4 linked regions of the Arabidopsis thaliana genome follow. The protein of the gene in region 4 purifies or fractionates together with the protein of the main gene of each other region. This does not show direct contact. Each region holds a gene or a part of one and is shown on either strand. Other genes may lie near its edges.

Region 1 (6,746 bases), on a different chromosome or scaffold from region 4:
TAACATAACGTGCCAAATAGAATAATCGATTTTGGCCGAATTAAGTTCATGGATGGTTACGATTGAGGTGTAAGTCGTAAAGCGGTTTTGGTAGAAAATCTTGTGGATTCGATTGGAGGATCAAGAGTATAGTCAAGACATTGAAATTGCATTAGAATTGTTCAAGAAATATACTAGAATGAAATAAAGTAAAATGAATTCTTTTATCTTCATGGGCTAGTACCTAGTAATACCAAAAGAAATGGTATTTTTGGAGAAATTAGAAATTGATCGTGTGCCATTTAGTTAAAGGAAGAAATACCAATTTTTCCAATCCAGTTTCAGGCCAATCCAACCCATTTTTAAAATTCTTAAATCTTTATTGTAGAACATGGTTTTATGTTGATCAAATAGTGGTGTCCGTATAACTTTTAAGTGATTTGCAATCATATTTGGGCTATATCTAAACCTGAGACTTTGAGCCGACCGGTTTATTCGATTTCGGTTTGTCAGTTTTGCAGATTATTCAGAAAACAAAACCTATCCCGAATCAAACTTATTCCACATTATTCAGTTCGTTCGATTCGGACACTCATATATATATATATATATTTTTATTGTTTTCTCCTTTTATTTGTTTGCATCTAACTAGTGTTCTTAATTTTCCTTTTCCATAAGAAAAAACTAGGAGTATGTTTAGTTGTATTTGTAATCTTTGGTATCATTTAGGTGTAACTTGGGATTTGGGAAAAATACATGATTCAAGTTTGGTTGGAACGTGTTGTATGATAATGAAGAAGCACTGAAGCATTGATCAGTCAAAATGCTCGGGAAAAGGATGATTATATGAATGTTGTTGCATAGGGTACAACTTTGTGATAAGAAACAAACAACCTCGCATTGTATTATTTATTGTATAGCGAGTAGGAAGTAGTACTATACGATACTTCTTCCTATAAAGTTATATATTTATAAAGGTATAAATAAATATATACCTACGAAAAGAAAAAGTAATTAAATTTGTAAATGGATTTGTGCAAAATCCAAATTTTAAAGAAAGGTATGGTTAGGATATTTGATGAGAGTTTCGAGGGTTTTGCTTCTCGGAAAGGTACCTAATTATTCATCATTTTTTCTCTTCTTTTTTTGTCTCAATCCTTTTTTGAAAAGACCAAAAAAAAAAAGCAACGAGAAATTAGCATCTTTTTTTCATCATATGTGTATGTATATCAATGATCGAACGGTCGTCAGCTCACTGTGAGGCAACACATGAATCCAATTAGTTCTCAAAATTTATCCATTATCCACAATTCCACATAATGGTTAGCGATATTCATATAAACTCTCTTCATAATGATTTTTTTGTTGAAAAAACTTCTGATACTACGACATGCAAATTAGAAGCAGTATTAAGAAACTTACTTTTTTTTTTGACACACTATTTAAGAAACTACTTAAGAGTTAAGAGTTAAGACTGAAGCTTAATTAAAATAACGTCAATAAAATCATATTTTGTTTAAATTATTTCCCTTTTTGGGCAAATAATTAAATTATTTCCTAACCAGTTTAAGTTTCGTAATGCAAAATGGAATCTCTAATGTTGCTGGGTCAAGTTTTCTTCTACGTAGAAAAGACTTTTTGTATTGATTCCCCAAAGCCATTCTTCTCAATGTAAATTTGATTTTATCAGAAATAATAACCCAAAAAAAATACTCCAAATGTCTTTTCAATATAAAAATTAATAATTTGACTTGATATCAATCGGAAATTACAAGAGAGTATGGGAAGTCGTGGTACCGGAGAGAGTGCGGCTCTTCCTATGGCTTGGAATGCAGCAAGTTCTGATGACGAATGCTGAGAGGAGGAGGAGGCATCTAAGTGATTCGGACATTTGCCAAATCTGTAAAGGAGCTGAAAAAACAATCATACATATTCTTCGTGATTGTCCTGCTATGGAAGGCATTTGGATCCGCTTAGTTCCTGCGGGTAAGCGCCGAGAGTTCTTTACACAATCGTTATTGGAGTGGTTGTTTGCTAATCTGGGTGATAGGCGGAAGACTTGTGAGAGTACTTGGTCAACTTTATTTGCTTTGTCTATTTGGTGGGCCTGGAAATGGCGGTGTGGCAACATTTTTGGTGTTCAAGACAAATGTCGAGATCGGGTGCGTTTCTTAAAGGATCTGGCTAGGGAGACGTCCATGGCTCATGTGATAGTCAGGACACTGAGTGGGGGTCATGGAGAACGGGTGGAAAGACTGATCGCGTGGTCGAAACCCGAGGAAGGTTGGTGGAAACTTAATACGGATGGGGCTTCCAGAGGTAATCCGGGTTTAGCGTCTGCTGGTGGTGTGCTACGAGATGAGGAAGGAGCTTGGAGAGGAGGTTTTGCTCTGAACATTGGAGTTTGTTCAGCACCTTTGGCAGAGCTATGGGGAGTGTACTATGGCCTCTACATTGCTTGGGAGCGACGAGTCACACGGTTAGAGATTGAGGTGGACTCAGAGATTGTTGTGGGTTTTTTGAAGATAGGGATAAACGAGGTACATCCGCTGTCTTTCCTGGTACGATTGTGCCATGACTTCATATCAAGGGACTGGAGAGTCCGTATTTCACACGTTTATAGGGAAGCTAACCGTCTTGCTGACGGGTTAGCCAACTATGCATTTTCGTTACCATTAGGTTTTCATTCTCTTAGTTTGGTTCCGGATTCTTTACGTTTTATTTTGTTGGATGACACTAGTGGAGCTACGGTTTCACGTCAAGTGCGAATGTAATTTTCTTTTTCATTAATAAATCTTGGGAGACTTTGTCTCCCTTGGCTTACCCAAAAAAAAAAATCGAAAGTTACAAAGAACGATTTATCTAGTTAAAAAGAAGTTTTTTCTTAACTCTTAAACACAATTATTAGACTACTAAACATTCATAATTAATAATCATACAAAATGATTAGTCGAACAAATAAAATATCGCATCCTTTCCAATTTAAACGAGATCACGTGGAAGCGAGTACACACCACGCGCCGATACAGAGAGTGAGATTTCAAAATTCGACGAACCAATTTGCCTCCGTTCACATGCGATGCATCTTCTCTCTTAAATATCCACCGTCACCACTCTCTCTTCCTCTTTAGATTCTCTCTCTACAGAGAACTTGATTATTTTTTCTGATCTGAGAAAAAAAATGGCGAATGGAGCTAATAGAGTGGATCTCGACGGGAAACCGATACAACCGTTGACAATATGCATGATCGGCGCCGGAGGTTTCATCGGTTCACATCTCTGTGAAAAGCTCTTGACCGAGACGCCACATAAGGTGCTTGCGCTCGATGTTTACAACGATAAGATCAAACACTTGCTTGAGCCTGATACCGTTGAATGGAGTGGTCGGATCCAGTTTCATCGTATCAATATTAAGCATGATTCGAGACTTGAAGGTCTTGTTAAGATGGCGGATCTGGTAAAAATGCTTATCGATTTCGTTTTTTGATCTCTTGTTCTTCGGTGTTTATGATAGAAGTCTCAGATCTGATTCGTTATCGGAATTCAGATGTTTCGCAATGTATTGAGATCGGTGATGTTGTGATGTAATTCTGATGTTTCTTTTTGGATTCGCAGATTATAAATCTTGCTGCGATCTGTACTCCAGCTGATTACAATACACGTCCTCTTGATACTATCTACAGCAATTTCATTGATGCGCTTCCAGTTGTATGTGTTTTCTTCTTAGCTTCGTTCATTGTTTTGCTTTAGCTCTTGTTTTTGAAGTTGATGGAGACAGTGATGATTGTGTAATGCGTTGGTTTTGTTAGGTGAAATACTGTTCTGAGAACAACAAGCGTCTCATTCACTTTTCTACCTGTGAAGTTTATGGAAAAACCATTGGAAGCTTTCTTCCTAAGGATCATCCTCTGCGTGATGTAATGCCTTTTTGTACATTTCGCTTTCCACATGTTATTGTCTTTTTATCAATCTCATCGATGAATGTACTGAGGAACATGTTGAAGCTGACGTTTTCGTTCGTTTTAATAGCCACATTATGAATTACTCATTGGATCTCGTTAAACGTATTTTTGAATTGAATTAAGACTTTAGTCCGCTAGTCTATCACACACCCATAGAAGCTTGGAATAGTTGATATTATTCGTCTAAGGTTGGGTTCACTGTTTACTGATGTTGTTTGTTGTGCCTTTCTACAGGATCCTGCTTTCTATGTTCTTAAAGAAGATATTTCCCCTTGCATATTTGGTTCAATTGAGAAGCAGAGGTGGTCATATGCGTGTGCAAAGCAACTGATTGAGAGACTTGTTTACGGTAAGCATTTCTGTTTAAGATGATGTTGGTAAAAACAAAAGGTTTACACTTAACTTCACTTGTTTCTTGTGACAGCTGAGGGTGCTGAGAATGGGCTTGAGTTCACCATCGTACGACCTTTTAACTGGATTGGACCTAGGATGGATTTCATCCCCGGCATTGATGGTCCTAGCGAAGGTGTCCCACGTGTCCTTGCCTGCTTTAGTAACGTAAGTGTTCAAATCCAAGTATATAACCCAATGCTAGTCTGTGTATATATGCAAGCTTTTAGTTAATGCATCTCTATCTATCTTTCAGAATCTTCTACGTCGTGAGCCTCTCAAGCTTGTAGATGGTGGAGAATCACAGAGAACTTTCGTCTACATCAATGATGCTATTGAAGCTGTCCTTTTGATGATTGTACGTTCCATTGCCTGATATATAGCTTTTTGTTTACAAACTGTTAATGTTAGAAGTTCGAAGTAGTTTCAACTAAAACCTATAATGACATTGTATGTTTGTGGTTCAGGAAAACCCAGAGAGGGCAAATGGGCACATCTTCAACGTAGGCAACCCGAACAACGAAGTTACAGTAAGACAGCTCGCTGAAATGATGACCGAGGTGAGGAAGATGGATCAGTTAGGAAACTATGAAAATAGTTTGATTTCTCTGTCGCTGGTTCTCAATTCTCAAAACGAATCATGTTTCAGGTTTACGCAAAAGTGAGTGGAGAAGGAGCCATTGAGAGCCCAACGGTTGATGTTAGCTCCAAAGAGTTTTACGGGGAAGGTTATGATGACAGTGACAAGAGAATCCCAGACATGACCATCATTAACCGCCAACTCGGTAATTCTTCATAATCACCAACATGATAGATAATATGCTTTAAAATCAAAATCAATTGCTATTCTGATAGAATTTTGGACTTTGAAAATAGGATGGAACCCGAAAACATCGCTATGGGACTTGCTCGAGTCGACCTTAACCTACCAGCACAGGACATACGCTGAAGCTGTGAAGAAGGCAACATCCAAACCAGTGGCTTCCTAAACTCTCCAAGACCCCAACGAAACTCGTTAAACACGCGTCATTTTGGCATTTTACTCTATTCGATTCTATTTTTTTCATCCCAGAGAAAACTTTTTTTCTTTTTTCTTTTTAAGAAAACGATATAATCACGGTGGTTCGTTCCAAGTATACCTTTTCGTTTGTAAGTTTTCTCTTTTTGTTTGGTTTGTTTGGCCATGTATGTCGGAGCTGTCAGAAAGCAAGAGGTTAATCGTTTGTAGCGAATGATAAATGTTCGAGTGTATATTTTAAAATGCTTCGTTTTACATGTGTACAAGTACAAGAACAAATGTAATTATCTTCTGTCAAGTAACACATTGTGTTTCGTTCAGAAAAAAAACAAGTGGACTACAGAGTATGAAAGAAAGTCTAGTAGTTTTGGAACGCTCGACAATTAAATTCGATTTTATTTTTAAATTGTAATATATAAATCACAAGTAGCGTCTGTAGTCCAACGGTTAGGATAATTGCCTTCCAAGCAATAGACCCGGGTTCGACTCCCGGCAGACGCATTATCATTATTTTTATATTTTGAATTGTTTTCACTGAATTTTTAATTCAATGAAGGCAAAGCAAACTAGAAGAAAATGAGTCTTTTTTTCTTTCTTTCTAACTCATGTACATAAAATACATTGTTAGAGCATATTCTAGTTCAACTATTTCTGATTTAATATACTCCATCTACTTAGTATTGCGATCAAGATTAGATCATAACATATCGACATTGTATAGTACTTATCATGAATCAGCCAGCAACTTCGAAATTTTATGAACTTGAAAAGAGCAAAAATCATATTTCATTTAAACCCATTAACACTCCAAAATGACAACATAACATATATTATAATAATCCAAAAATTTTAAGATGCCAAAAGCCTCATAAGTCACTCAACGATTCACCAATACAGTCAAGTAAAAATTTCTATTGGAAAAATGTGACTTGGTGTGCAAATATCTTCTACTTTTTGCAAGAGGGACCACAAGGGAATGGGCATCTCTTCTTCCCTCCTGCACCAAAATGGTTTTAAACCAAATCAATAATCCACAATTCTCATCTCATATGCAAAGTTATCTTTATATATCTTAACTTTAGTTTTCGTTACCTGATGACTTGTTCTTCTTTCCACCTTTAGCTATCTCAAATGCACCATTTGGCATCTTTTTGCTCGGAGGAGCCACCTTTAAAGGTGCTTCAGCCTCTACATCTTCTTCATCTGAAGAGTCATCATCCTCGTCCAAACCCATCTAACCAAACATACAGAAAAAAACAACAAGATTACCTTTTTTTTTATACTGATTCATTGCTAATCAGTAAATACTTAAAAGAAAAATCTACCTCATCTGAGTCGGATTCATCATCTTCTTCAGGATTGATCTCATTTTGAGGCAAAGCAGCTTTTCAACAATG
Region 2 (7,197 bases), on a different chromosome or scaffold from region 4:
TCTTTGATCCTGGAGTGTCATCCTCAGCTTCATTAGTTTCATGTTCAGACAGGAGATGTTACTCAAATTTCCAGACAGAATCAGGCTGTTCTCCCAACAATCTCTGTTCCTATTCGTTTAAGTACGGTGATGGAAGTGGCACTTCTGGTTACTACATCTCAGATTTCATGTCCTTTGATACTGTTATTACCAGTACCTTGGCTATAAATTCCTCTGCTCCCTTTGTTTTTGGGTAAGCTAACAGCAAAGAATTGTGTATTTACGTGGGGTTTATATATATGTACATATCCCATAGGTTTTATCTTGCATTTGGAATCCCCTTTCGATAATGATGATTTCTTTAGTATGGTGCATTGCCTTCTCTAAATTTAACTAATGACTGCATCTTCGGGGGGGAGAAAATGTTGGCCAAATGAGAAACAATATTTCTGCCTATCAAATACACTCATTAGTTTTATGTTTAAGTAATTAACATCTACCAGGAAGTACAATATGATCTAACTTCCAAATCATCTTTTCTGTACTGTTTCAACTTTCAAAATATGTGATGCTTGTCTTCAATATTGCTAACAGGTGTAGCAATTTACAATCTGGAGATTTACAGAGGCCTAGAAGAGCAGTAGATGGCATCTTTGGGTTAGGACAAGGGAGTTTATCAGTAATTTCTCAGCTTGCTGTGCAAGGACTCGCGCCACGAGTATTCTCGCATTGTCTGAAGGGAGATAAAAGCGGTGGAGGTATAATGGTTCTAGGTCAAATCAAGAGGCCAGATACCGTCTATACTCCTCTTGTTCCATCACAGTGAGTTCTCAATCTTTCTATTATACATTTAAACTCTTATCATATTACGTAAAGAGAAGCACAGGTAGATTTTGGGGTACTTAACATCATGATGAATCAGACTTCAATGTTAGGGTAGGATTCCTAGATTTATTTTTGTATAAGACAAGGAGGTAGATCCAGGGTTTAACTGATGATTATGAAAGTCATTTACACAGATATAAATGCGAGAGTTGTTACAATATCTGCTATATCATTCTGCTTGTAGGAATCATATGATCCAGAAATAGACATTTTGTAGCTGACTCTATGGAAATAATATGCAGTTCGTATATCTTGGGTTAGGAAAATCAAAATATATAAACCCACGTCTTGATTCAGATAATATGCTGCAAAAAAATATTTCAGGCCACATTATAATGTGAACCTGCAGAGCATTGCTGTGAACGGTCAGATATTACCGATTGATCCATCTGTTTTCACAATAGCCACTGGTGATGGAACGATAATTGATACGGGAACGACTCTTGCTTATCTTCCCGACGAAGCTTATAGTCCATTCATCCAAGCTGTGAGTGTTTTTTTCTTCCTCAGTTCACCTTCAGCTTTTTCAGTCACCAAACCGTGTATACCATATTCAGTAGTTTTTGCCATTGTTGAAAGTATCTGTCCTCAAATGTTACATTTTTGGAATGAAATTACAATTCGATGTAGACGATATATGTTATTAGACCTTACAAAAAAGAAGATTTATAAAACGTTCAACCTGCAGGTTGCAAATGCTGTTTCGCAGTACGGGCGTCCCATTACCTATGAGAGTTACCAATGCTTTGAAATCACAGCTGGGTAAAGTTCTTCTCATGTGTATGTATATATAAGAAGCTATTATCTCCTATGCTTAAGTGCTAAAAAGATCTCCATGTTGCAGTGACGTTGATGTCTTTCCCCAAGTTAGTTTGAGCTTTGCTGGTGGTGCATCAATGGTCTTAGGACCCCGTGCATATCTTCAGATTTTTTCTAGTGTAAGCATATTCATACACTTACACTACTTCATAAATTGTCTTTTAGTGTGTCAATGATAAGCTTTGAAAAAGTTTAGCTGCTCAACTCTTAGCTATACGTCTACTATATCTAGCCTAAGACTGTATCTAGCAGATTAGAGGTGTTAGGGGTTTGTAAGCGAGCCGTTAGTGAGGGCTGGGACGTTGGGTTTATAAGGATGTCTCAACAGATTGTTTTGGGTGTGGATTTCTCTTAAGGTTTACAGTTTGAAAAATTTGATATGATAATTTTTCTTTTGCTATTTCAGTCAGGAAGTTCAATATGGTGCATTGGTTTCCAGAGAATGTCTCATCGTCGTATAACAATTCTTGGTGGTAACTACTCTTGTTTGTTAACTCAATCAAGTGAAACTGTAACAGTGCAGCTATTTTTCTCAATGAGTGATTGCTTTGCAGATTTGGTTCTTAAAGACAAAGTGGTGGTCTACGATCTAGTTCGCCAACGTATTGGATGGGCAGAATACGACTGTGAGTGTGTTATCTATTTTACCACAGAGCAATAACGAAATTGGAATACAAATGCAGATAATGAAATTCCATTCCAGGTTCTCTGGAGGTGAATGTTTCAGCATCAAGAGGAGGACGAAGCAAAGACGTTATAAACACAGGACAATGGAGAGAAAGCGGTTCGGAGAGTTTTAATAGAAGTTATTACTTGTTACAACTAGTAGTCTTCCTTGTCCACCTTTTTGCTCGTTTCTTGTAGTAGCTTTTAGCATTCACTCCACCAATTATGGTTGGACTTTGTAAGCTTATATTATTGTAATTTAATCACACTAATTAATTCTTACTTACCCACCCACCACTTCTCTCGTTTCTCTGTTTAATCAACCTCCTATCTACCACTAAGGCCACCGACGAATTAGCACAATTTTACATGTCGGTGTAAAGCAACAAACATACCCAAAAAAAAATTGAAACTATATACTGTAGTTGTAATCTACTAGTTTTAAAATAGATTTCACGTGAACAATCAGCAGATTCATAATAATTGACTTAAGAGAGAATATGACACGTAACGAAAACATTAATTTCACGTGGTGGGAGTAATGTGCAAGGCTGTGAGAGTGTAGGGAACATTATTATACGCCTTTAAATATCCATCTCTCATTTCTTTCTTTCTTTTCTCCCATTCTCACAAATCTCTCTTCCACCCATTGTTATCTCTGTAGAAGCGTGAGAGAGATCACGCGTGTTCACCGACACAATCAAAATATGGCGAACGGAGCCGATAGATTGGATCTGGACGGTAAACCGATTAAGCCGATGACGATATGCATGATCGGTGCCGGAGGTTTCATTGGCTCTCATCTCTGTGAGAAGCTTATGACGGAGACTCCTCACAAGGTTCTTGCGCTTGATGTTTACAATGATAAGATCAAGCACTTGCTTGAGCCTGATACCGTTCAATGGGCTGGTCGGATCCAGTTTCATCGTATCAACATTAAGCATGATTCTAGACTTGAAGGACTGATCAAGATGGCAGATCTGGTATTTGTTCTTCGTTTCTTCTTAGTAAATCGTTAATGTGAAAATGTTGAATGTGAAGACTCAGATCTGATTCGTTATGTGAAATCGAATTTCGAATTGTGGATGTCTTGTTTAATTAATCTGTTGTTGTTGTTTTGGATTTTGCAGACGATAAATCTAGCTGCGATCTGTACTCCAGCAGATTACAATACGCGTCCTCTTGACACTATCTACAGCAATTTCATTGATGCTCTCCCAGTGGTATGTATTTTATGCTTTTGCAGTTTGTTTGGTTTAGTGGAGCAATTTTGTAAGTTTGAGGAATATTTTTATGTGATACGGATTTTAGTTGTGACATTGAGTGGTCATTGGTTTTGGTATGTAGGTTAAATACTGCTCAGAGAACAACAAGCGTCTGATTCACTTTTCCACTTGTGAAGTGTATGGAAAAACTATAGGAAGCTTTCTTCCAAAGGATCATCCTCTGCGTCAGGTCAGTATTTTTCTCCCTTTTTCACTCTGATCATTTCATTTGTCTTATGCATCACTTTTTGCTGATTGTCGTTATCAAGAGGATCAGGAAACTATGTTAATTATGTACATTGGCACACTCACTTAAGATTGATACGGAAATTTATATACTAATGCAGTTATTGTTGTTATATGAAGTCTTGTTTACTGATCTAAAGAGTAACGTAAACTTGTTATAATAAGCCTATCACTATCCACTTTAATAGTGTTTGTAATATCGAGAAAATGTAGTTTGTTTTCCTGCAATTACCTGAGTATGGCTTTGAGCCCTAACTACTGCATGAGAGTCTTTTGTTTTACTTTTTGCCTTACTTTCTTATGTCAAGTAGATATTCGTTCGTGTCACGTGGTTCTTATTACTACTTTTGTCTCTGTGTTTTGTTATTATTTCACTACTCACCAATGATGCTCGTCTTGTTTACTACAGGATCCTGAATTTTATGTACTCAAAGAAGATATATCCCCTTGCATCTTTGGTTCAATTGAGAAGCAGAGGTGGTCATATGCTTGTGCAAAGCAACTTATTGAGAGACTTGTTTACGGTATGTAGTTTTCTTACACGAAAGAAATTTTTTGTTTCTAGACACAAAAAAGTTTCTCACGTCACTTTTTTCTGGTTGCAGCTGAGGGTGCTGAGAATGGACTCGAGTTCACCATTGTAAGACCATTCAACTGGATTGGACCTAGGATGGATTTCATCCCTGGCATTGATGGTCCTAGCGAGGGTGTCCCACGGGTTCTAGCGTGCTTTAGTAACGTAAGTATACAGGCTTAGTCCAATGACCTGAGTTCTTCTCATGGCTGCAGCTTAACTTTTTTGTTTAACTTTTTGGTGGGTATTTTCAGAATCTTCTGCGACGGGAGCCTCTCAAGCTTGTGGATGGTGGAGAATCACAGAGAACCTTCATCTACATCAAAGATGCTATCGAAGCTGTCCTTTTGATGATCGTGAGTTTCATTCATTGCTTATCCCTGGTGATATATCGTTTGTTTTTATATTATTAAAGAAGTTGCATCTGAATTGCTTGCGGAATTCTTTACCAGGAAAATCCAGAGAGAGCCAATGGGCATATCTTCAATGTAGGCAACCCAAACAATGAAGTGACAGTGAGACAACTTGCTGAAATGATGACTGAGGTGAGAAAAATTGGTCATAGATAAGAATCTGAGTGATTTTCGATAAAACTATTATAGCACACGCTCAAATGTTGCAAAACAAAAAATGGACAGGTCTACGCCAAAGTGAGTGGAGAGACAGCTATCGAGAGTCCAACGATCGACGTGAGCTCCAAAGAGTTTTATGGAGAAGGTTATGATGACAGCGACAAGAGAATCCCAGACATGACCATCATCAACCGTCAACTTGGTAACTTCCTCTTTTCTTGTCTGATTAGTCTTTTCTAACAGTCACAATGTTTTTCTAATAAATACTCTGGTGTGGACAATAATTAGGATGGAACCCGAAGACGTCGCTTTGGGACTTGCTTGAATCGACCTTAACATACCAGCACACGACTTATGCGGAAGCCATTAAGAAGGCCACTTCAAAACCAGTCGCATCTTAGAGGTCGTCTCTCTTTACAAACACCTCAAATCATGTGGTGGCTACGATTCCATTCTTTCTTTTTAAAAAAAAAATTCTCCCAACAGAAACCTTCTCTTCCCTTATTTTAGGCCATTCTAAACAAATGATATATCATGGTGGTTGATTCTAGTTTACGTTTTCCTTGTTATATAGTATTACTGTTAATGTTTTTGAATTCCTTTGTTTTGAAGCTTTATATCTTGTATTTGTCCGAAACTAAAAAGGGAATGGTTTGTGCAAACTATAACATTGGGGCTTTCTTTATATGTTACATATCTTTGGCGGATTCCACACTTCACTTCTATATCTGCCTGGTTGTAATAAACGAGTTAGTTTGGCTTTTGCTCGTGTTGCTGTGTTATGTGAATATATACCTTAATTAGAAATGCCTAAGGTCTGTCTTTTTTTTTTGCCGTCTAAACATTTTTATTAGAAACATAGAATAAAATAGTACTACAAAAACAGAGCATTACAGCTCAAGAAGAAAAACAGAGCATAGGTGCTCATACACTTATAGAAAATTATTTACAAAATTTGTTTCCCAATCTATATTTCAGAAAAAAAACGTACTCATAGGAAACGGTGAATTAGCTATCATGTATTTAAAAAAAAAAAAAAAAGATGACAAGATCGCCGACCAAAACAAAAATAAGATCATAAGATCAAAGAACAAGAGAGCTGTCACATATATTTTACTCTCTGCTAAACGACAAACAACAAGAAGCAGTACACTGAAAATGGAATTATCGGAAATGACGATTTTTTTGTAGATCGAGGACAGAGGAGCCAAAAAAAAAAATGTAAATGTTTCAGGTATGGGCTTAGAAACTAAGCGTAAAGAGAAGGAAGAGAAACAAACTTGGCCTTTGTAAAAAACTCAAAGTCAATTCAATCGTAACACTTGGCCACTCATCGGGAAATAATACAAAGGCACAAATTCTGGCACACATGTTTTCTCCATCTCTCGCCTTTCTCTTTTTGCTATATTTTAGAGAACTACAGAACAAACAATGAACATTTTCTTCTTTAAAAAAAAATATATATATGTTCGAAGCACACCAAAAATACTTCACAAACACATGCACAAAAGGGGTCGCTACCGAGCGGACGCAGCGGCGGCAGTAGTACATAATATGCACCGTAAACGCGACCGCCCAGGTCTGTCTCCATCACCATCCTCATCTTCTTCCTCATCCTCTTCCTCCTCATCCACACCGTTATCGTAGCTATATTCATACCCCGAAGAACCTTTGGTTGTCTTGTGATTGTTGTTACTGAAGGCTGCATCCATGAGGCACGTCTCGTGGTAAGCATGGCAGCAGAAGAAGACCACTACAGTGTCCCCTCTTATCGAGACCGGGTCGAAGCACATACAACACCGTGTGTCCCCCCGTGTCTTCGACTTCACTTCTGTCATCTTTATGCTCAAAGATTTATCTACTACCATTCTCTGCGAGAATGATGAGCGATTATTGTCTTCTCTCTTCGCACGGGAATCGTCGTCTTCATGGCTCAGGCAGACCCCACGCCTAGCCTCGTTGAAGCATTTGACCAGAAGATTAACAATATCCGTCTGTACAACAACCCCCACACGTCAAATTCCCTGGAGTCTGTTCCAGATATATATGATTAGAGGGACATTGGTGACATTAAATTTGTACCTTGAGAATGTCATTGCAACCGTGTCTAAGAGATGTCTCAGTTCTGTAATCTGTTACGATTTTGACCAATCGATCCCTTAATCTGAAAGCAGAAGAAACAATGAGGAGA
Region 3 (7,251 bases), on a different chromosome or scaffold from region 4:
ACGTGTAAATTTGGTGGTTACCAAGTCCGGGGAACTGCAATTGTTGTCCTAGATAAGGCTGTGAAAATGGCTCATTTCCAGTAGAAAATCCTGTTACAGGTTGAGAAGTTTGGCTCGCTGGTAAAGATTCATTACCTGCTAAGGGAGTAAGCGAAGCCACTGCTGGTTCTGTAGCAGCCCGATCGATCTTCCTATCAAAATTCCCATGAAGTAGTTCATCCAAATTGTTCCCGGGAGGACTTAATCCAAGGGAACTTCTCCGTGAACTTAGATCCATCCCATTGACAGCAACAACATACTGAACCTCAGAATCACCCTCTGCATGTTCCATAACAAACTGAGCCTCCTCTATATCACTGCTTGAAAACAAGAACATCCTGGGCTTCTCAGATCCTCCATTACCAAACACGATACATTCTTCCATCATGTTTTGTAAATCCTCGTCAGAAGATACAGAGACTAGGGCATCAAGATCCTCTCCTGGCAGCTGATATTTTATGGTGCGTGCTTCAGGAAATATTTCTTTCATTTTATGCATGAGTTCTTGGAAAGAAATAGTCTTGCTAATCCGTATGATACGCGTTTCACCACCTACATACCTAAGTTTCTGATCTCTGGGGCGGGGTATAACTTTACCACCAAAACTACACAAGAACTTCGCACGGTTCAAAGAGCTATCAGAAGCTCTAGAAGAAACCAAACTATGACGCCTTTGACCAGTATCATTTTTCGAAGAGATAACTGGGGCTGACTGGACCAGTTCATGATAGGTCTTATCTTCAATTCTAGAAGGGGGTTTCCTCTCGTGCTCAAAGCTCTGACGTTTTTCTTCTATGTTAAGCACTGTAGCGTTAGGGCCACTCTCTGACATTGGATGAACCATTCCCAGAGCACTTAAGTTAACAGAAACAGGCATACCACTGTGCTCACCATACACATTTGGGATGAACTGCGGTTTCATAATAACCCTATCTCTCATAAACTCAAAAGCAAATTCTTCACCGGTCTGTATTGAGTAGTTTAGCACTGGCCGAGCAGGGGTTGAAACACCATAATCTGGAGGTCGTACATAAGTGTTAACATTAGTTGAAGAGTCGTGGGAAAACCTTTGATTAATGGAGCCAAGTCCCTCATCTCTAGGGTCAGGGGCAGTATACCGAACATGTTCATAACCTTTTGCTTGATCCATGTTTTCTTTCTCAAGGTGTCTATCTATCTAGTTCATAAGCTCCCTCACAAACGCTTGTAGGCGACATATCATGATCATGACCCAAGTAAAATCTTTGCATAAGCATCCTTCGCAAATTTCTAACGTTTTGGCTGCAGAACAGGACGACTTCTATCATGAACAACTCAAACTCTCATTGAGGTGCCTGAAATAGGAGAAGAGTAACTTTACTCAAGTAGTCAAACATATTCAAGAACAAAAAAACCAAAATAGCATACGGCTAAAACTCAGAAAACCATACTATTTAAGGAACATTTTCGGTATACAAACCAATAAAACTCTTTACTCTAGCAGGGACAGATCATCCAGTACAAATATCTGACTGTGCATACTTTCCAACATGAAACTAGCTAAAATGACTACTTTCTAGTCTCTTCAAGTTTAAACTAACAGGAATCGCTGAAACTAAAATCGATCAACTTCACCAAACTATTAGCAAACCCATCGTAACTTTGAGAGAGTGTAAATCAACAGATCAAAACATAGAACTAAATCCAAAATTCAATCAAGTCCGTGAAACAATTCCAAACCTCAAAAAGGAAACAAATAAGCGTCATTTCGAACCAAAAACTGAGCTAAAAACCTCTACCCAACCAAAAAACAAAAGCCGATCAAGCCATCAAAACCACTGAAACTCTAGAAAATGCAAGATCTGAGTATCATTACCCGAAATTCAGGTGGAAACACATCGGATCCAGAGATTTTCGATAATAATGATCAAAATTCAAAAACAGCATACACCTAAAAGGAAGACGAGTAAGCAAAGAAGGAGAGAAGTAGAGAAAAAGGTTTATACCAGGAAAGGCGGCACCAGAGACTGTGAAGCGTCCTCGGTTTGACGATCGATGAGTAGGAGAAGAAGCCAAGTCCTTCCTTAAAATCTCTCTTCTAATTTTGACAATTCGAAAAACAAAACTATATTCTCGAGAAAAAAACTATTATGCCTACCAATAAAATAATTGTTATCTACTTACATTATTTAAAATTCTGAAAAGCAAATAAAATATCATATAAAACATAAGAAGCTTTCGTCATCTCCATAGTTAGTCTTTTGTAATATTACCACTCTGATCCAATAAAGTTTTATTTCTTACTAATTAGTTTACACTTGAGAATTTTGGTTTCTACTAAATTTTTTAAAATTTGGAGTTAAAATAGTTTAGTTTTATTTTTGGGGGAAATAAAAAGAGAAGCTTTATTCCAATTTTCCAAATATTCCAGGTGTAATCTAACTGTCAAGGCCATAATAATAAATACATAATTCCACCTGACGCCAATAATAAATTACATATTTTCCTTTTTTTTTTATTTTTTTTTCTAATTTATTTCCAAAATTAGCCGCAAAATCACAAAACCTAACAGAGCTCAACACTACACACTGTTTCAAAATCAGACTACTATGCTCAGCTCAGCCGCCACCGCCACCTCCGTGAGTGCTCGCTCCGGCGATATTCTCTGCGGCTTGTTTCGCAAAAAATCCGTCGCGCCTTTTCGTTTTACTCAGCCTGTGAGTTCTCCTCTGTGTGTGGACGTGTTCCTTTGTGTCTTTGTTTCATGTTCTGCTAAACTTTTTAATATTAGTGGAATTTTCAATGAGCAGGTCTATCGTACGTCGCTGTGTCCAAGTTTCGTTGCTGTTCGAGCCATGGCAGAGTCTCAGACTGCTCAGAGGAATCAGCCGCAATCCTCAGGCTCCTCTGGTTTACAATTTTTCTTTTTGCTGCAATTTCAAATTCAGTGATCGATTTTCAGTTACGTTTTAGTGATTTTCAAATAATCGGGCTTTAATTGAATCAGGGGAGAAGCAAGCTTTGATATCTCTATCTGACAAGAGGGACTTGGCTTCTCTTGGCAACGGTCTGCAAGAATTGGGGTATGTGTTCTTCACAACTCTCTCTTACTTAGAACTATACAAATTTTGGTTTTGTTTCTATCTTATATGTAAATGATTCCTTTTTTCATTGATATTTGTGTAGATACACTATTGTTTCTACTGGAGGAACTGCCTCTACTTTGGAGAATGCTGGAGTCTCTGTGACCAAAGTGGAGAAGCTTACTCATTTTCCAGAAATGGCATGTTTTTCTTTTCTCTTATGCTCGCTGCTCTTGCTAAAAGTTTTGGTCTTGTGATCTCGCTGATATTTATATTTAAGTTTTGGTTTATACCATTGTTTTGTTGAGTTTAGTATATTAAACTTAGCTCTCCTTTTTTTTTTTCTTCTCTTAAAGCTTGATGGCCGTGTGAAAACTTTGCATCCAAACATACATGGTGGTATCCTCGCTAGAAGGGATGTGGAGCATCATATGGAAGCTCTTAATGAGCATGGGATTGGTGAGTTTTGACCTTTGATTGATCCTCTACATTAAGCTTGAGACTAAGTCATTTATAGTGTCTCCTTATGTTTAACTGTACCTTTTTTTTTTTTAATTCTATGACAGGTACATTTGATGTTGTGGTTGTCAATTTGTACCCGTTCTATGAAAAAGTTACTGCTCCAGGTGGGATCAGTTTTGAGGATGGGATTGAGAACATTGACATTGGTGGCCCTGCTATGATTAGAGCAGCTGCTAAGGTAATACATATATCTGTGCATATGAGACTTTTTCTTTACACTTGCAAGATTATTTTCAAGATTATAAATGTATATTTTCTATTGTTTTTTCAACAGAACCACAAAGACGTTCTCATTGTTGTCGATTCAGGAGATTATCAAGCTGTTTTGGAGTATCTCAAAGGAGGACAGAGCGACCAACAATTCCGCAGAAAACTTGCGTGGAAGGCCTTTCAGCATGTTGCTGCATATGATTCTGCGGTTTCAGAATGGCTATGGAAGCAGACTGAAGGAAGTATGTGATTGTTTTTATGTGATCCTCCTTACACTAGTTATGGCAATTGGCAACTTACATTGATTGATATTCATGTCTTTCTCAGAAGAGAAGTTCCCTCCCAGCTTTACAGTTCCGCTTGTACTTAAGAGTTCTCTTCGTTACGGTGAAAATCCTCATCAAAAAGCTGCATTTTATGTTGATAAGAGCCTTGCTGAAGTGAATGCCGGTGGTATCGCAACAGCGATTCAGCATCATGGAAAGGTAAGAAAGTATGCTACTTTTTCTGTCCGGTGTAATTTACAGAGCAAATAGTTTTAAACTGCCATTTATATCCTTATCCTCGCTTTCAAGCCTTATTATGTTTAACTTTTCTATTTATTTCTGTGAGCAGGAAATGTCATACAACAACTATCTTGATGCTGACGCTGCATGGAACTGTGTGTCGGAATTTGAAAACCCAACATGTGTAGTCGTGAAGCATACAAATCCTTGTGGTGTGGCCTCTCGTGATGATATTCTTGAGGCTTACCGGCTAGCTGTAAAAGCTGACCCAGTTAGTGCCTTTGGTGGCATTGTAGCTTTCAATGTTGAAGTTGACGAGGTAATCAAAAGTCAAACTACTGTTGTCCCATACATTATTCAATTGTTTAGTGATCTGTAACTGTCTCTAGGTTCTTGCGAGGGAGATCCGAGAGTTCAGGAGCCCAACAGACGGGGAAACTAGAATGTTTTATGAAATCGTGGTTGCTCCAAAGTATACTGCTAAAGGTCTTGAAGTCCTCAAAGGGAAATCAAAAACTTTGAGGATCCTCGAAGCTAAAAAGAATGACCAAGGGAAACTATCGCTCAGACAGGTTGGTGGCGGCTGGTTGGCTCAGGACTCGGACGATTTAACTCCAGAAGACATCAGCTTCAATTCTGTCTCAGACAAAACTCCGACTGAAAGCGAACTTGCGGATGCAAAATTTGCCTGGCTCTGCGTTAAGCATGTCAAGAGCAATGCCATTGTGATAGCAAAGGTTGGATTTTCCTCTCTGATTCCTTTTCTTGTTTCTCTTTCTGTACTTGTTTGCTAGTAGTTTATTCTGATTCTTGGGTTGGCTCATAGAACAATTGTATGCTGGGGATGGGAAGCGGACAGCCAAACCGAGTAGAGAGTCTGAGAATAGCTTTCAAGAAAGCTGGGGAGGAAGCTAAAGGAGCTGCCTTGGCCAGTGACGCATTCTTCCCATTCGGTATATATATTTTTCTCTCCGAAACCATTCTTCTGTCTGAAATGACTCATCAATCAACAAATGTTAGCCGTTCTGAATTGGAAATTTGTTGTTGTGTGAATTGCAGCTTGGAAAGATGCGGTGGAAGAGGCGTGCCAGATGGGAATAGGAGTGATAGCAGAACCTGGAGGCAGTATTAGAGACCAAGACGCTATTGATTGCTGCAAAAAGTATGGAGTCTCTCTGCTCTTCACCAACGTTAGACATTTCCGCCATTAAGGACACATCCCTCCAGTTTTGCTCTTATAAACACATCCAAGAGAGTTTCTGAAGAAGAAAACCCACCAAACAAAACACAAAGAGTGGGAAATAAAACTGTTGTAACATTAATTTGGATTGCGTTCGAGTTTATGTATGATTAGAACCTGAGAGCTGTTCCTACTTATAAATTTGACATTTTTCACCCAAAATCATATCTTTCTCTACATCCAGAAACTGATGAGATTTGCATATAAAATATTCAACATTTCTACTCAAACTGGAGTGAGAAAGTCGACGACAGTGTGGAGAGAGATCAGAGATGGCGACAGGGAAAGTGGTGGTGGAGAAAGTGGGAGGAAGATCTACAGCTACGAGCTGCTTCTCGAAGTATCCTCTCAAGTTCTTACTTCCTAGCAAGGTCTCCTCTCTCTCTCTACGTAGAGTTCACAGTTTCGAATTTTCAATCTTTAGTTATTAAAGTTCCGGCGACACTGAACTTTCAGGCAGCTCCTGCTGGAACTGACGTTGTCTGGATTTACAGTATCACTTATGGTGGCGGCATTGTCTCTGTATTTCCCTATTTCTCTGTCTCTTTATTAATGAATTTGCCATCGATGCGCTTGAATCAATCTAGTTCTTGTTCAAATTATGTAGGGCGATTCGATTTCATGTGAATTCACAATTGGTGATGGATGCACTGCAGTTATTACAACGCAGTCTTCTACTAAGGTTGAATCAATTTAGGGCTTTTCTCTCTCTTTGCAATGGACACTAATTTCATCCTACGTGGTTGACTTTCTGTTGATGGATCTTGTGATTTCACACAGGTGTACAAGGCAATAGGATCAAAGTGTTCTGAACAGATATTGGAAGTAATGTTTCTTTCACATTTCTACTAAAATCATTTTGAGCTTTCTTAGTAGAACAGAGTGCTATTGCAATAGAATAGGACCATTTTCTTTGATTCATGTTCCTGATTGATCTTTCGGTTTGTTGTGTGCAGTAGGCGAGAATCGGGAGTGAAGCTCTTTTGGTTGTGATACCAGATCCAGTGACTTGCTTCTCCACTGCCCGGTACTATCAGAAACAGATCTTTAGATTGCTTTCAGATTCCAATCTGGTCCTTGTGGATTGGATCACAAGCGGGCGTCACGCTAATGGCGAAAAATGGGATTTCGAGTTTTATAAGAGCATCAACAACGTCTACCTGGAAGATGATCACCCTTTATTCCTTGACACAGTTAGTTAAAATCTCATACCCACTTTCAGATTTGTAGAGAATGGTTTACCTTAAACCAAGTAAAATCCCGCTTGCAAATCGTGTATGAAGTATTGATAGAACATTCATGAGCGTGGTTAGATCTTCCTTTGGTAATGGTTTATTCATTGCAGGTGCTACTAGAGAAGAGGAGCATCCAAAGCATAGCCGAACGGATGCAAGACTATCAAGCTATAGCAATGGTCATACTCTTCGGGTATGCAATTGCAAAACATTTAGAACACGTTTTAGAGTTGGTAGTGCTCTCTATGAGAATTTGGATCTTTGCTAAATATGTTTGAAAATGGATCAAGGGCAAAGCTGAAGGAAATCCAAAAGCAAGTCCAAGAAAATGTGAAAAACATGATGTCAGAACAATTACAGCTCTCTTATAGTTCTCGGAGACACAAGTCTGAGTCAAGCTCTCGTAATCGCTTCATGAAACCAGAGTTTATAGCTTC
Region 4 (7,727 bases):
TTTTTTTTTGCATGCAGAAATGAATATACCACCAGAATTGACCTTTGAAGTTTTGGTGCGACTTCCATTGAAGAGCCTCGCAAGATTCAGATCAATGTGCAAAGAATGGAAACTGGTCATCGACTCCGAATTCTTCCGAGATTGCTTCATGTCTCACAACTCTTCCTCAGTCTCATGGTCAATCATCCAAACGAGACCTCACAAACTGACACTTGAAATCGTTGGTCACCATGGATGCAAAACATGGGGACTTACTCGTTCTCCCGGATCTTTAGTGAGTTTCTTTGCCGAGACCACAATCAGGAAACTACAAGTCTTAGCTTGTACCGATGGGTTGGTCCTTCTTTACGTAGAATCTTGCGTTGGAACTCCTATGTATTACGTTGGTAATCCTTTGTTTCAAGAGTGGTTTCGAATCCCTCTCCGTCCTAAATACACTTCTCAAAATGTTGAGAAATTAAGGAACCACGAGCGTTTCAGCGACAGTGGATTGGTTACAAAGATGCAAAGTGGTATTGTTGTGAGTTACAAGGTTGTGTGGTTGATCGCTCACACTTTTGCTCAAGTCGATTTTGCGATTTACTCATCTAACACAGGGGAATGGGAAATTAAAAATGTGACTTGTCTTCATTCTGCCTATTGGTTTAGTCATCACAAGTCCATTGCTTTAAATGGGATTCTTCATTGGCTTTCCAACCTCACCGGTTCTTTTTTAGCTTACGATTTCTATGGAGGTCATCATGATGCGTGTAGTATCATTTATTTCCCCGATAATGGAAAAGATTACGAGTTACCGCGTTTTCGGAGAACAATCACTACCTCGGAAGGGTCTATTGTGTATTTCAACGAGTTTGGTGGGAACGCAAACCGCAAAGTACGGGTTTGGAGGCTGGTCAAGTACACTGATGGTCCTGAGGCGTGGCAGCTCTTTTGGGAAGCCAGCTTGGCGTCTGTGACCAAGCTAGGTATCGATTACTTCCCGGTGGTGATGCATCCTTTGAAGTCTGAGATCATCTACTTGTGGAGCAGAAACAAGAAAGGTATGGTCTTGTTTAACTTGAGGACGCATGTGTTTAGTCTTCACAAGGAATCCGAAGACGAGAGGAAGTGTATGGATGGTTGCACCTTGAGCTTTAACTGGTGCAACGAGTATATGGAGACCGTTCATAGATACTTTTCCCCATCGTTTCAAGGTGGTCCTAACCTTCTCCTCGCTTCACAGTATGTTCTCCCTCGTTGGTTGTCCCGTCTCCCTCGTCCACAGCCTTCTAATTAGTTTATATTGATTCTGTTTTAAGTTTGATATCAAATTTCAAATGTGAATGATTTTACAATTCTGTGAGATGTCATGCTCGAGCCTTTGAGACAAATACTTGCACCTTGATATAAATTGGTCGAATCAAATATTAATTACCATGCTCGAGTTTTACTATTCTTATGACCCTTATGTTGTCTCCTACAGAAACGAGAGAAAGACGATGAAAAGACTTGAAATCCAAGGAACCCAAGCCTTTAAGGTTAGTGGATTTCACATCTTTCTAAACCATGTAGAGAACGTCAAGCTTATTCACGCATAGCTGGTTTGCCACATTGGCTCTTAAGTTCAATCTCATAGACAAGTATTTATGCAAATCCGTCTTTATTCTGTCTTTATATTCTTTGGAATTCGGCCACAATCACAAGTTTTTATTTTGACATTTAAGAGAAACAAAATCTTAAAAACGAACCCTGCAAATAGCTAATGATCAGTCACAAAGTAACATGATCTAGAAGCTACAATAAATAAACTTACAAATTCCCTCATGAACGTACACTACATTCTGCTGCTCATTCACAAAACTCTCTCTTAGATCGTTCACTTTACTCGTCAGTCACACATCCATCTGAAGCCGATTGCACGTTCTTGATGTACTGTTTTTAGAATATCATAAACCATTCATTAGAAACTAATCCATCAGATGTCAAAGAGACATACATTATATAGATACAAGTGGATTCGTATAGTACCTTATATAGGACTCCGCGGTTAACCTTGTATGCAGGAGCAGTCCATTTCTTTCTACGGTCATTCATTTCTTCGGGTGAGACTTGTGTGTCTATTCTCTTCTTTCCTATGTCAATGGTGATTATGTCTCCGTTCTTGATCAGACCGATCGGACCACCCTCCTGCACAGATAAATAGTAAGCACACCGGAGAATTGCTTTCAGCATTATTATCTTCACATTCTCCAATCACATTAATATCAGTTTTATTATTTGAAATATTCCAAAATCATCATAACTGCATAAGAGCCACCACAAACTATTACAGGATCCCTTGACCCTTGTTCCTTTTTGCTAAAACTATATATGACTATGACCCAGTAGCATTTATTTTTCAATACACAAGAAAAATATCCCAGAAGAGGGACATGGATCTATCAAATTTATCTTGCAAGTGCAAAATTTAGAATTTTGCTCTGATGGAGCCAGTGGGCAGAGAGAAAAAAAAAAGGGAGAGAGAGAGACCTGAGCTTCAGGGCAAATGTGGCCAACAACAAAACCGTGTGACCCACCAGAGAACCTACCATCAGTCAGTAATGCACATTCCTGCATCACCCAATAGCAACATATTGGCACTTTATATAAGGTGTGTTCTCGGATATGGACAAAGTAGATAAAAAGATTTAGGTCACTACCATAAGCATAATATAGTCAGACCATATCAAAGGAAAAATAACGAGTTCTTTAATTTAGAACATAAAAATTGATCAGACTTAATAAATGTCTCACTAACCCAGTCATACTGGTCATATCATACCTTTCCAAGACCGGCACCCATTATTGCACTTGTCGGTGTCAACATCTCAGGCATACCTGGACCTCCTTTAGGCCCCTCTCCTCTGATAACAACCACAGTTCCCTGAAACACGATACATTTCATCAGATAAAAGATATATAACCAGCTCCTGAGATGAACTTCATATCAGAAAGGAAATTACCTTAAAACTCATTGGGTCTGCTGATATAGCAGCCAACATAGATTCCTCTCCTTCAAATACAAGTGCAGGACCTAAAATAAATAGTTCCATCATATAAGCCCTAATATTCAGAAGCATTAGCTAAATATGGAGTGTAAAGGAGGTACTAGAGTGAACCAACATTACCAGAGAAATATAAGCCCTCTTTGCCGGTAATTTTTGCTACAGAACCATCTGGTGCAAGGTCTCCTCTCAAAATTTGTATGTGTCCAGTCTCCTTGATTGGATTTGACAGAGGTCTAATTATCTCCTGGAACATTATCAGAATTAATTAGAATCCTGTATAACTAACAACCATCATAATCAAGAAGAAACAGGCGGTAGAATCTAATGAGATAACTAATAACATTACAAATACCTGCCCTTCTGTTAAGCTTGGGACGTTTTCTAAATTTTGAGCCAAAGTCTGCCCTGTCACTGGTAGAGATACAAAAGCGTAGTTATGCCATTTCACATCAATCCAAATTGCTAAGTCAGTTTATAAAATGTTTGAGCATTTCTACCTGTCATACAATCACCATCCATCAATCCTAGCTCTAATAAATAGCGGAGAACAGCTGGCGTACCACCTATCTGTAGATTAAACAACAAAACTTACAAACTGACCAATAAAAAAACAGATAAGTAATAAGCAAAACGATTTCGCCAAAGCCTTACCTTATGTATATCCTCCATAACATACTTCCCACTGGGTTTAAGATCTGCTAGAAATGGAACCGCATCGCTAACTTTCTGAAAATCGTCAAGAGTCAACTCCAAACCAACAGACCTGAAATCATTTCCATTCATTACTTCGGTCCATTGCTTTCCATGGTAATAATAAGAAACATCATAACAATCTGTCACCTTGCAATAGCAATTAGATGCAATACTGCATTTGTCGATCCCCCAAGGGCCATGACGGAAACCATTGCATTACGAAGTGATTTTGGAGTGATAATGTCACGGGGTTTTAAGTCCATCTTTAGCAATTCTAGAAGATATTTTCCTGCTAAGCGACACTCGTCCAACTTCAATGGGTCTTCAGCAGGTATTGAAGAACTTCAAAAAAAAAAGAAGAAGCAAATATATGAACTTTTGAAATAAGCATTCCACAATTACAGTTTAGGATCTACAATGTTCTTGTGGAAATAACTTTCTATTAAGCACAAATCTGGGAAAACGTTTGAAGTTGATTTATAAATGTGGTCTTCAGGACTGAAAGCCTCACCTGTAAGGAAGGGACATTCCCATTGCTTCGATAGCAGAAGCCATTGTATTCGCTGTGTACATGCCACCACAGGCTCCAGCTCCAGGACATGAATGATGGAGGACAGTCTTTCTCTGTTCATCACTTATGGAGCCACTAACAAATTCTCCATAACTCTGAAATACAAAATTGGAAAACATGATGAATCCCACAAGTACTGGTACAATTTGACACCAAAGTCACCAAGATTTCTGTAACTCAATCCCAAAATTGGAAAACTCAATGAAGTCTCATAAATACACATTAAAATTGTTATAACCAAGCTCGTAGCAGATAGAAGAAAAGATACCTGGAAAGCAGATACAATGTCATATGTCTTGTCTTGAAAATGGCCAGGCTGCAATAATATCAAAGCAAGGTGAATAGGCTATCCAACTAGGCACAAGGGTTTAGGGTTTAAGAAACTATCTTCTCATCAATTTGATAAAAGTAAGTACCTTAATGGTTCCACCATAAACCATAATCCCTGGTCTGTTAAGCCTTCCCATAGCCATAATAGTTCCAGGCATCTAAAAGTATTACAACAATAACATTATAGCAAACAAATCACATAAAACATGGAGATAAAGACAACACAAAGATCGATGATTAAAAAAAAAAAACTCACATTTTTATCACAACCGGGAATAGATATGTTACCATCATACCACTGAGCACTCATAACAGTCTCAATACTATCAGCAATCAAATCCCTAGATTGCAAACTAAAACACATCCCTCTCGTTCCCATCGAAATAGCATCACTCACACCAATAGTATTAAACCTAAACCCAACCATTCCTGCATTTTCAACTCCTTCTTTCACAGCCTCAGACAATTTCAGCAAATGCATGTTACAAGTGTTCCCTTCATACCAAACCGACGAGATACCAATCTGGGGTTTTAGCAAATCGTCGTCTGATAAACCAACACCGTGAAGAATTGCTTGAGACCCACCTTGGGATTTGGGTTCAGTGATTCTTGAGCTGTATTTGTTGAGCTTATTGGTGTCAGTGATAGGTGGTGAAGGATCAGCGGTTACGGATTGGGCGGAGCAGGAGATGATTGAGGGACGGCGAGAGTTGACATTGTGGGAAGGGAGGAGAGGTTTACAGGGGAAGAGAGTGGCGCGTGGAGAGAAGATGGTGGCTTGCATGACGGCGCGAGGAGGAAAGGGTTTAAAGAAGGGTTTTTTGGCGGCGCAGTGCGTGTGGAGGAGACACTTCAAAAGTGAAGACTTTGTGAGAGTGAGATAAAATGGTCAGGACTCTGAATTCAGATAGATACAGAAAAATAGGTTTTTTTGGTAATTTGTGAAAACGCTGTCGTTTAGCATAATTTGGGAAACAATTTGGTTTAACTCGCTGGTTTGGTATATGCGATTGCTTAAATAGTTATAATTAGGGGTGCAATAACCGGTTATTACAATTGTAGTGAAATAATTGGGTTAAAAATGGAATTGAAGACATAATAAATGGTTTTGGTTTCATATTTTTTTCATAATCAATATAGTAATAGAGATCAAACCAAGACAGAAAAAGAAGTAGAAATAAACCAATTAGAATTGTTTTTTTTTGTTAATGAAATATTGCTAAAATTAAATGCCGTAATCGAAGCAAAAATAAGAAATAAACCAACTAAAACTTCTTCTTTTTTACTACGGAAATTAAAGTAAATTTTGCTAAAAAGGATAAAACCCTAGCAGAAATCAAAATTGTACCAAACCGAACCACATGATATATTTCTTGTAGGATTCACTTCTTTATCTCATCTAACAAAAATTTGATAATTTTCAGTAACCGAACCGGAAGTTGGACATTCTTAATTAGAACTAGAAGTTTCTTGGGCTATAAAAAAGCAAGTGGTGTTTTAGACTTTTAGTGTCTAGTAAGTTTTTTTCCACAGTTTCTGTTCTTTGGAAAAATGGTTCATTATCATTATTGCTAAAGAATTGTATCTAACTCCAACAAAAAAAAAAAAAAACGATTTGTGCAAATCTTTCATGGGACATGTGCTTTTTGAACTCATAGTGCTATGATTTACTATATTTCCAAAATAAAAATTGTAAAATAACCAAAAGAGAAATAAATATGACATTGTGGATCAAGATTCTCTGACGAGATATGACTGTTTGCAGAAGACTATTTGAGTAAAAAGTGTTTATGTACATTCGACACATTTGGTCTTCAATATCAACAGATTCATTGATGCGAATGATCCTGTCTTCTTTTTCTTCTTGCTTCCAAGAATCCTTAGACTCTGTCTCAATAAGTCAATCTCTCTTTCTTTCTCATACTTTTGTCTATCCATCAAAACTATTTGCTCTTCAAGTGTCTCAACTGTCTCTTCTTTAACTCTAACTTCATCTCTCAATACTTCAACTCTCTTTGCTTCTGTTTCTTCTTCTTCTTGTTCCTCAAGTTTCCTTTGCATGATTGCTTCTCCTACAAACACACACTTTAAAGATCCTATTTACTTTTTCTAATTTTAAGTTGAAATAAGTTGAGTTTATTTTACCGGAGGAAGAAGTAGTGTGGGAGATGAGATGATCAAGCTCATTCTTGATAGCTAAATAGAGTTGTTTCCATTTCTCAACGGCTTCATCTCTCACTGCTCTCTCTACACACATCTCCTCAACCACCCACTTCCAATACTCTCTTTCCTCTGTTGTTGTTGTCTTTGCTTCTTCTCTTTCCTCTAGCTTCTTCCTTAGTCTTCTCACTTCCTCTCTCAGCTTCTTCCTCTCTTTTCTCCACTCTCTCTCCGCCTCTTTAAGCTGAAGAAACATCACTTTCTCTCTCTCATCTCTCTCTTTTATCAGGTGTCTTCTTCCTCTGCTTTGGTCTTTTGATGTCTCCTTCACACTTCTCACACCTCTCCTCTCTTGCTTGCTTGTGCATCCACCCATCTCTAATCCTTTTGGACACTTCTTCTTCTTCTTCTTATAACATGAAGAAGAATATGTTAATGAAGGAGAATCTCACTCTATCTCTCTGAAAGCTGTGTTCTTGTTTTATTTATGATGTAAAGAGCCTCTCTCCTACATTCAATGAAGAGAAGTCAAAATTGTATATGAAGAAGCTCCACTAGTACTACTACACTACCATTTATATATGGCCCTTTCTAAAAAGAGCATCTCAAAACAGTAACCTCTCTAGCTTTACTTTTTCACTCACTCACAAGTGTAAACACACTACAGTAAAAAAAGTGAAACTAAAAATTTGGTGGAATGGATGGAATAAATTAAGAGAGAAGTGATGGGAGATGTCAGAAGGGAAGGTGGAGAATTTTGTTAGAAGATAGGTTTAACCGTTTAAGGACATGGAAAACTACAACACTAGATTCTCATCCTTTACCACAATTAATGGTGTGGGCTTTCATTGTTTTTTTCACATGGTCCATCATCAACTATTTGGACCCATCCCTCTCTCTATACTCTATATAACTCTATACTAAGTATTTTGTTTTCCTATTACTAT

What was found.
Region 1: the proteins of AT3G23940 (region 4) and AXS1 fractionate together in Arabidopsis thaliana (co-fractionation; one large-scale study listed by BioGRID). This does not show direct contact.
Region 2: the proteins of AT3G23940 (region 4) and AXS2 fractionate together in Arabidopsis thaliana (co-fractionation; one large-scale study listed by BioGRID). This does not show direct contact.
Region 3: the proteins of AT3G23940 (region 4) and AT2G35040 fractionate together in Arabidopsis thaliana (co-fractionation; one large-scale study listed by BioGRID). This does not show direct contact.

The regions. Positions count from the first base shown.
Region 1 is NC_003071.7:11,863,258-11,870,003, reverse strand, and holds AXS1 (UDP-D-apiose/UDP-D-xylose synthase 1), read left to right. Parts: upstream 1-3,005; 5' UTR 3,006-3,160; coding exon 3,161-3,436; intron 3,437-3,594; coding exon 3,595-3,687; intron 3,688-3,788; coding exon 3,789-3,896; intron 3,897-4,175; coding exon 4,176-4,290; intron 4,291-4,365; coding exon 4,366-4,499; intron 4,500-4,587; coding exon 4,588-4,689; intron 4,690-4,798; coding exon 4,799-4,891; intron 4,892-4,980; coding exon 4,981-5,116; intron 5,117-5,207; coding exon 5,208-5,320; 3' UTR 5,321-5,727; downstream 5,728-6,746. Other genes in the region: HDT4 (histone deacetylase-related / HD-like protein), read right to left, coding at 6,297-6,346, 6,442-6,583, 6,675-6,733. UniProt on the Arabidopsis thaliana protein: Together with AXS2, catalyzes the conversion of UDP-D-glucuronate into a mixture of UDP-D-apiose (UDP-Api) as the main product and UDP-D-xylose to a lesser extent, via a cycle of oxidation and reduction.
Region 2 is NC_003070.9:2,572,469-2,579,665, reverse strand, and holds AXS2 (UDP-D-apiose/UDP-D-xylose synthase 2), read left to right. Parts: upstream 1-2,821; 5' UTR 2,822-3,056; coding exon 3,057-3,332; intron 3,333-3,479; coding exon 3,480-3,572; intron 3,573-3,696; coding exon 3,697-3,804; intron 3,805-4,269; coding exon 4,270-4,384; intron 4,385-4,465; coding exon 4,466-4,599; intron 4,600-4,688; coding exon 4,689-4,790; intron 4,791-4,886; coding exon 4,887-4,979; intron 4,980-5,072; coding exon 5,073-5,208; intron 5,209-5,294; coding exon 5,295-5,407; 3' UTR 5,408-5,848; downstream 5,849-7,197. Other genes in the region: AT1G08210 (Eukaryotic aspartyl protease family protein), read left to right, coding at 1-232, 574-801, 1,189-1,351, 1,553-1,626, 1,709-1,802, 2,090-2,156, 2,238-2,309, 2,387-2,547; VPS41 (vacuolar protein sorting 41), read right to left, coding at 6,524-7,000, 7,089-7,170. UniProt on the Arabidopsis thaliana protein: Together with AXS1, catalyzes the conversion of UDP-D-glucuronate into a mixture of UDP-D-apiose (UDP-Api) as the main product and UDP-D-xylose to a lesser extent, via a cycle of oxidation and reduction.
Region 3 is NC_003071.7:14,763,646-14,770,896, reverse strand, and holds AT2G35040 (AICARFT/IMPCHase bienzyme family protein), read left to right. Parts: upstream 1-2,578; 5' UTR 2,579-2,627; coding exon 2,628-2,735; intron 2,736-2,809; exon of another isoform or gene 2,810-2,828; coding exon 2,829-2,928; intron 2,929-3,025; coding exon 3,026-3,101; intron 3,102-3,204; coding exon 3,205-3,301; intron 3,302-3,457; coding exon 3,458-3,560; intron 3,561-3,667; coding exon 3,668-3,801; intron 3,802-3,897; coding exon 3,898-4,075; intron 4,076-4,160; coding exon 4,161-4,318; intron 4,319-4,448; coding exon 4,449-4,658; intron 4,659-4,728; coding exon 4,729-5,076; intron 5,077-5,165; coding exon 5,166-5,292; intron 5,293-5,398; coding exon 5,399-5,550; 3' UTR 5,551-5,752; downstream 5,753-7,251. Other genes in the region: AT2G35050 (kinase superfamily with octicosapeptide/Phox/Bem1p domain-containing protein), read right to left, coding at 1-1,189; URED (urease accessory protein D), read left to right, coding at 5,852-5,950, 6,036-6,101, 6,187-6,261, 6,360-6,404, 6,539-6,772, 6,925-7,007, 7,105-7,251.
Region 4 is NC_003074.8:8,646,457-8,654,183, reverse strand, and holds AT3G23940 (dehydratase family), read right to left. Parts: upstream 5,516-7,727; 5' UTR 5,405-5,515; coding exon 4,877-5,404; intron 4,779-4,876; coding exon 4,707-4,778; intron 4,607-4,706; coding exon 4,559-4,606; intron 4,386-4,558; coding exon 4,231-4,385; intron 4,062-4,230; coding exon 3,867-4,061; intron 3,790-3,866; coding exon 3,678-3,789; intron 3,594-3,677; coding exon 3,524-3,593; intron 3,438-3,523; coding exon 3,379-3,437; intron 3,271-3,378; coding exon 3,147-3,270; intron 3,053-3,146; coding exon 2,982-3,052; intron 2,903-2,981; coding exon 2,801-2,902; intron 2,590-2,800; coding exon 2,509-2,589; intron 2,167-2,508; coding exon 2,008-2,166; intron 1,912-2,007; coding exon 1,861-1,911; 3' UTR 1,579-1,860; downstream 1-1,578. Other genes in the region: AT3G23950 (F-box family protein), read left to right, coding at 20-1,276; AT3G23930 (troponin T, skeletal protein), read right to left, coding at 6,409-6,692, 6,766-7,156. UniProt on the Arabidopsis thaliana protein: Functions in the biosynthesis of branched-chain amino acids.